2 linked regions of the Canis lupus familiaris genome follow. The main gene of each other region encodes a partner of the protein of the gene in region 2 in a complex. Links are inferred from orthologs where the notes say so. Each region holds a gene or a part of one and is shown on either strand. Other genes may lie near its edges.

Region 1 (4,136 bases), on a different chromosome or scaffold from region 2:
AGAAAATGGGGGAATGACAGCTAATGGGCATGGTATCCCCTTTAGAGGTAAAGAAAATGTTCTAAAATGGATTGTGGTGATGGTTGCACAACCCTGACTATGCTAAGAACCACTAAATTATACCCTTTGTTTTTAAATTCTTTCTTTCTTTCTTTCTTTCTTTCTTTCTTTCTTTCTTTCTTTCTTTCTTTCTTTCTTTCTCTTTCTTTCTTTCTTTTAAAAGGATTTTATTTATTCATGAGAGACAGAGAAAGAGAGAGAGAGAGAGAGAGAGAGAGAGAGAGAGGCAGAGACACAGAGGGAGAAGCAGGGTCCATGCAGGGAGCCTGATGTGGGACTCAATCCCGGGACTCCAGGATCATGCCCTGGGCCAAAGGCAGGCGCTAAACTGCTGAGCCACGCAGGGATCCAAAAATTTTCTCTTTTTAAATAAAATATAAAAAAACCCTAAAACTAAAAATAAATAAATAAAATATAATCAACACACAGTACCCTGTTAGTTTCAGGTGTATGTCACAGTGATTCAATTTCTTATATATTATGAAATGATCCCCACAATAAGTCTAGTTATCACATAAAGTTACTACAGTATTGTCTATGTTATCTCTATACCGTACACCAGTGACTTGTTTTTTTGTAACTTTAAGTCTATAGCTTTTAAGCTCCTTCCCCTATTTTGTCTATCTCCCACTCTACTCCCTACTGGCAATCACCAGTCTGTTGTCTGTGTTTATCAGTCTGTTTCTGAAGATTCCACATATAAGTGGAATCATATGATATTTATCTTTCTCTGACTTATTTTACACAGCATGATAGCCTATAGGTCCATCCATGTTGTTGCAAATGGGAAGATTTTTATATCTAAGTAATATTCCTCTGTATATACACACCACATCTTCTTTGTCCGTTTATGGATAGACCCTTAGGTTGAACTGCACACTTTAAATGGGTCAACTGTATACCCATTATATCTTCTTTTAAAAAGCGGTAAGTTGGCTCAGCAGTTTAGCGCTGCCTTCAGTCCAGGGTTTGATCCTGGAAACCCAGGATCAAGTCCCACGTCATGCTCCCTGCATGGAGCCTGCTTCTCCCTCTGCCTGTGTCTCTGCCTCTCTCTCTCTCTGTGTGTCTCTCATGAATAAATAAATAAAATATTTTATTTTTTTAAATTTTATTTACTTATGATAGTCACACACACACAGAGAGAGAGAGAGAGAGAGAGAGGCAGAGACATAGGCAGAGGGAGAAGCAGGCTCCATGCAACGGGAGCCCGACGTGGGATTCGATCCCGGGTCTCCAGGATCGCGCCCTGGGCCAAAGGCAGGCGCTAAACCGCTGCGCCACCCAGGGATCCCCAATATTTTAAAAAATAAAATAAAAAGTGGTAATGTGAAACAGTATTCTCTATTTTTTTTTCTAAGAAAACTAATTCATATCAGATACAAAGGTCACTGAAAAGAAGCAAATGTTTTACTGGCAGCTAAGTCAACAAAAAAGGTAAGAAGAGAAAAATAAGTTGGGAGTTGCAAAAAAAAAAAAAAAAAGCTGAAGATTTGGGTTTCTGTTCAGCAGGGCTCCCTCTCCTGGGGAAACAAGGTAATACCATAGTCAGTGATGGGGTACCAAGCTTCAGTGAGCTCTGGCCTAGGCCCAACAGGAGCCTTCTACAGGATGACCTCGGTATGGCCTTTATTTATTTGAATCACTTCTGCCTCTCCACCAGACATATTCGCAAAACACAACAAGGTGCAATGAAAAGAAAGGTGAAGTGAGAATTGGGGGGTGGGGTGCAAATCACTTCTGAGATTCCTATCAGCAAAGCTAGAGACGTGACCTACAGAGGTGCACCCAGCTCTAATATCTAGTGTGCCTTTAGCGCTGACATTTTGTGTTAAGACCCTCTGAAAGGTGAGTTCTCATTTGCAAGCGGGATATACAGCACCTTAAGCCTCGTCTCCCCTCAAAGCACTACTGTCAAGACCAGACAACGCAAAAATATGCTTCGGCCAAACGTAAATTCAAATAAACCTTCAGGTATTATTATTATTAACCATATAGACTCATACCCTTTCCTTCTCATTTCTTCCAAAAAAAAAAAAAGAAAGAAAGAAAAAAAGCAATTATTTACCTCACCCTCTGTACAAATAAGCAATATTTTTTTTTGTATCTCAGAGGTCAGCACTGAAGGAAGGAAACGTGGTATTAAGAACTGTGGATTCTAGAGCAAGATCGTTCACTGGATCTCTGAGTGACCTTGAGCCAGCCATTTCTCCATTCGAGCTCCCCGTTTCTGTCGGCAAAACGGGAGCTGCTGCGAGGCGGAGGTAGTAACCCTCGAGGCTCTTTCCATTCAAACGCTCTTAAGGCAGGGCGAGGCGGGACTACCCTCGCAGCCCGAGCCGCCGCAGGCACTTCTGTACCCGGACCCCGACCCGCAGACCCCCAGCTGCGCCTGCGCCCGCTCTCCTCGACACACATGTCCTACCCCCCCCGCGACCGCTCAGCTCGCGGGCCGCCACAGAACCCCAGGACCAGAGTCGGGCGGGCCAAGTCCGCGAGCTCCCCGCGGGTCTCGCGGCCGCAGCCCGGGAAGGACACTCACTGACTCGCAGCAGGGCCACGTAGATAAGAAAGTTCCGTATGGACGAGATCACATCCTCGCGCATCTTCCGTTTCATCTCCTCCGGGTCCAGCTTCGGCGCAAGGCCCTCGATGCGGAACATCACGGCTCTGCTTCTCAGCCTTGCGGCGGCCACGCTCTGCTCTCCTCAGAGGCTGCCGGGCGCCCGGAACTCGGCCCCACCCCATTTCCTGTTCCCGCCCCTCGTGTTCGCGCGCGGCGACGGGGGCCTGCGAGGGACAATCCTCTTCCTGCCTGAGAGGTTCTGCAGGGAGCTGCCTGAAGAGGGCGGTCGTAGTCTCTCAGTCACGCGCGACGCCGGGTCCTCCGGGCTGTGCAGTAACCTGTGTCCTGAGCCGGGCGCTGTACGCCGCAGAGTGCTTTTACACCTCCGAGCGGGCGGTGCCCGAAGACACCGCCGTACTTCATAATAGCTACGGTTCTACGCCGTGAGTTAGGTATCAAAACCTCCATTTCCTGGGTGAGAAAATTGAAGCACAGACAGCTTTAAAACAACTTGCCCAAATATACTTTAAAATACCTTGGCGGGGGGGGGGGGGGGGAGTGTTGAGGAAGGGAGAGGAAAGGATATTAGAAAAATGTTGAAAATTGGGATCCCTGGGTGGCGCAGCGGTTTGGCGCCTGCCTTTGGCCCAGGGCGCGATCCTGGAGACCCCGGATCGAATCCCACGTCAGGCTCCCGGTGCATGGAGCCTGCTTCTCCCTCTGCCTATGTCTCTGCCTCTCTCTTTCTCTCTCTGTGTGACTATCATAAATAAATAAAAATTAAAAAAAAAAAAGAAAAATGTTGAAAATCAATTAGAATGATTAACATAGCATTTTAATTAGTCTATTTTGAGCATGTTTGAAAAATTTCCTGAGAAGTTAAAACAAAAGATGAAGATGATGAAACTTGCTTTACATTACACAGCTAGTAAATGCAATAGGTTTTTAAAAATGTTATTGTCAGCCTCATTTTATTATATATAGAAATTTGTTTGTTTATTTAAAGTAAGCCCTATGCCCCAGCTGGGGCTTGAACTCAGGACCCTGAGATCAAAAGTCCCATGCTATACTGACAGAGCCAGCTAGGCACCCCTGCAGTAGGGTTTTATATTTACGTTTGTAGGACTCAGACATAAAAGTTTTTAACTCCATATTATCGTTATATTCTCATTTCTGGTGTTAATTGTTCCTGATAGATTATCATATTGGCCCAGTAATACAGTATATATAAAACAAGTTCAGGTCCTTTCAACATTTCACAGACGAGGAGGGGGAGCTGAGAAACCAAGTGCACTGCTTAGAGTCATTCTGCTAGTGATGGGTAGTGATGGGTTTTTTTTGAGATTTTATCCATTTATTTGTGAAAGACAGAGAGAGAGAGAGAGAGAGAGAGAGGCAGAGACATAGGCAGAGGGAGAGGCGGGCTCCCTATGGGGAGCTGGATGTGAGACTCCATCCCAGGCCCCAGGGATCATGACCTGAGCCAAAGGCAGAAGCTCAACCACTGAGC
Region 2 (3,558 bases):
AGACAGCGTTAAGGAACTGAGGTTGACTTTATGAGCCAGTGAAGCCCCTTGGAAAAAATCAGCCTAGGACCTTACTTACAGGGTACCCAGCAGCCTTACTGGGTGAATAAAGAGGTCACTTCCTGGCAGGTGCGGGAACCTCAGGATATTTGGGGGACCTCATGAAGAGAGGAATTTATTCATATCTGCAATACCTGCAGGCAAAGTCTGATGGCAACTATTTGGCTTGGCTTCTTAGCCTTGAGGATCTATTAAAAGTTCAGTCTGAAATTCCTTATGAGAAGTTCCAGCAAAGCAGATTTTCTGTTTAAAAATAAAGCAAACCTTATATAGCCAGTCACTATTCTTGCAGCGCTTATGTAAATAATTAGGCCAAGATTGTTAGAACCGAAGTCTTGATTTGGCTATCCTTGGTGGAAATGAGGGTGATTTTAGAGAGAAAAATCACACATTTGTGAATAGTAGATTCACTGTCTTTGGGTGTTTGTTGTTTGCCTCTAAAACCGGGCTGGATCCTAAATTCTGGTTTCTTCCAGTATGTGGCTATGATTCTCCAAACTGTGGTTTCCAATTTTCTCCATTCCCTAAAACTGCTCTTTCTCCGGAAGCCTTGCAGACTGAAGCTAGACAATCTGAGGTAGCCTGCAGATATCTTAGAATTATTAGAGCTGCTTTGGAACCCAGGGAGGTAGCTGTTGTCCGCAGCCAAGGACACCAGAAATGGGGCTGCTTGATTGCCCAAAGGAACAATCAGATCAAGCTGCCAGGCTGGCAGCCCACACAAAGACTCCAAAACCCTTTGTAGTGGCTTTAGTAGCAGATGAGTCATAGACTAAACCAAACATCAATCCTAGTATTCCTCTGAAGACCTGAGGAGAGCTGCCATCCACAGCTCTCGAGAACCATCTAGTAGCTGCCTGCCAAGGCCCTTGCACAAAGAGCTGTCTCTGTAATCAGAAGCCTCCAAGGTTGTGCAGGGAGCTTGACAGGCGAGGTGTGCTGGCTGCAAAGTTTAGAAGTTTTGACCTATTAACCAATGCAGTGTTCTGTGTTCAGCTGTCTCTGATTTCAATGCAGGTACAGAGTTTGAGAAAAAATTATTCTGAATAAAGGGAGAGAAAGGAGGTAGGATCGCCTAAGCCCAGGATGAGCAGTAAAACCCAGTTTGGTTTGTGTTTTTATTAGCTCTTGAGCTTGTCAGTGAAGACCTTGCCTGGCTCTACCTCTCCCTCCCCCACTAGGCATCCTGCTCATTGTGCATATTTTCTTCCACACAGGCAATTTTCACCCAGAAAAACAAGCTGCTTCCTGACCCTTTGGACACTAGACGCTGGCAGGGCTTCCGGCTGGAGGAGTATCTGATAGGGCAGTCCATTGGCAAGGGTTGCAGTGCTGCTGTGTATGAAGCCACCATGCCTGTGTTGCCCCAGAACCGGGAGGTGGTGAAGAGCATCAGACCTCTTCCAGGCCGAGGCCCAGATGTCGATGCACGAGAAGAGGAGCCAGCTTCACAGGCCCCTACCTTTCCCTTAGCCATCAAGATGATGTGGAATATCTCGGTGAGGAGGGGGCCTTTCATCTTGGAATTAGGCATTTCTTAAAACACTAGGGGCACCTGGGGGCTCATTTGGTTAAGCATCTGCCTTCAGCTCAGGTTGTGATCTCGGGGTCCTGGGATGAAAACCCACATGAGCTCCCTGCTCAGCGGAGAGCCTGCTTCTCCCTCTGCTCCTCACCCCGCTCATGCTCTCTCTCTCTCAAATAAATAAATAAGATCTTTATTAAAAAAAAAAAAAAAAAAGCCCCTTGGGATGCCTGGGTGGCTCACCGGTTGAGCGTCTGCCTTCAGCTCAGGTCGTGGTCCTGGGATGAGTCCCACGTCGGGCTCCCTGCACGGAGCCTGCTTCTCCCTCTGCCTGTGTCTCTGCCTCTCTGTGTGTATCTCTCATGAATAAATAAAATCTTAAAAAAAAAAAAAAAGCCCCAATGTTGGTGGACCTGCTAGTGCTTTTTCCCAGGAGGCAGATGGGCTCTTGTATGGTTAGGCTTCCTCGCCCGCTCACACAGGAGTCTCAGGTCGTGATAGGCTGCCAGTCACCTGAGGATCTGGTTAAAAGGCGGATTCCAGTCCTCCGGCCTGGGGTGGGGGCTGGGTCTCTGCCTTTCTGATCAGCTCCCAGGCAATGCCTCTGCTTCTGGTCTGGTCCACACACATCACAGCAGGTTTCTCGTGTGGGTGCTGACCCACCTAGCTGGATTCAGGTGTGCGGTTCCCACCATCCTCCCTCTTTCTCCTGACCTGCCTCCCTGGAGAGGAGGGCCTGGAGAGGAGGGCCTCCTGTCCTCCAGACTCACTCTTCAAGCTCCCCTCCAGATGAAAGGCTTGCTTGTCATCTCCCAGCTTTCCCCTCTGGGAGGACTCAAGGCTTAGGGAAATTGAATATTTTTCTCCACAAAAACAAAGAGTTCGTCTAGAGTAATTTCTTTCCCTTCTCACTATGTAGGTGGGTTTATTATTTTTTTATTTTTTATTTTTATTTTATTTTTTTATTTTTTTAAAGTTTTTTTTTTATTTTTTAAAGATTTATTTATTTATTATGATAGAGAGAGAGAGGGGCAGAGACACAGGAGGAGGGAGAAGCAGGCTCCATGCTGGGAGCCTGACGTGGGACTCGATCCCAGGACTCGATCCCGGGACTCCAGGATCGCACCCTGGGCCAAAGGCAGGCGCCAAACCGCTGAGCCACCCAGGGATGCCCTGTAGGTGGGTTTAGAAAATTAAGACCAGATGTTCCTTCACCTGCCCAGAGCATCCGCCCAAGTCTAAGGTGGGGCACAGCCGTGGCAGCTCATGTTGGACGCTGAAGAATACAGTTTCTGGTTTTGATCTCGGGGATGAAGGTTATTGGACTGTTGCCCTTCCACGCTGGGTTACTAGCTACCAAGTAGCCAAGGCCTTTGCCTGTGAACCACCCAGTGTTAGCATCAAAACTTCCTGATGGGCGTGACAACTTTTACACTTGTGAAAGCTAAATGACTTGACTCCTAGAGGGTTCCTAATAGGTTCCATAGGACCTGAGAGCCATTTGTAATGAAACAAGGAAAGGAGGGTGCCTGTCCTCGTCTTTGGTTCTTGCTGTTGTTTCTTTTTACGGGGAGGCTGGGGAAGGTCATCCTGAGATTCAACACAACTTATCCAGGGTAGATTTGTCCTGCTTTGCCGTCTGCTGCAGGCAGCCTGCAAGGGGGAGTCTTAGTGACCCAGGGCCAGTAGCATCGATGGCAGGAAGAAAGGTCCCTCACCCTAACTTGCCATCTCTTCTTCCCTGGGCCCCTGAGCTGCCAAGTTTGAGGTGTGGTGTTGAAGCCCTGTAGGGGTTGGCACGGATAACATCTCCACCCCCTCTCTCCTAGGAGAGACTAGCTTGGCTTGCTGCTGCAGAGAGTTTTTTTTTTTTTTCCTTTTTAAAAGATTTTATTCATTATTTGAAAGAGCATGAGCTCTGAGGGGGAGGGGCAGTGAGAGAGGGAGAAGCAGGCTCCCCACCAAGCAGGGAG

What was found.
Region 1: the proteins of PINK1 (region 2) and TOMM5 are in contact, whole or in part, in a cryo-EM structure (PDB 9EII), measured with the Homo sapiens proteins. The link is inferred for Canis lupus familiaris from reciprocal best matches to the Homo sapiens genes PINK1 and TOMM5. Residues at the interface, in NP_115785.1 of Homo sapiens: Gln484, Ala488, Gln491, Ser495, Lys496, Pro498, Val502, Lys520, Leu522, Lys523, Leu524, Met527, Glu565, Cys568, Gln569, Ala571, Leu572, Leu573, Cys575, Ser576, Trp577, Ala579, Ala580; in NP_001001790.1 of Homo sapiens: Met1, Phe2, Arg3, Ile4, Gly6, Leu7, Ala8, Lys10, Leu11, Asp12, Pro13, Glu14, Met16, Lys17, Arg18.

What each region holds. Positions count from the first base shown.
Region 1 is NC_049232.1:54,231,913-54,236,048, forward strand, and holds the start of TOMM5 (mitochondrial import receptor subunit TOM5 homolog), read right to left. Parts: upstream 2,805-4,136; 5' UTR 2,724-2,804; coding exon 2,603-2,723; intron 1-2,602.
Region 2 is NC_049223.1:77,685,219-77,688,776, reverse strand, and holds part of PINK1 (serine/threonine-protein kinase PINK1, mitochondrial), read left to right. Parts: intron 1-1,277; coding exon 1,278-1,559; intron 1,560-3,558. UniProt on the Homo sapiens protein: Serine/threonine-protein kinase which acts as a sensor of mitochondrial damage and protects against mitochondrial dysfunction during cellular stress.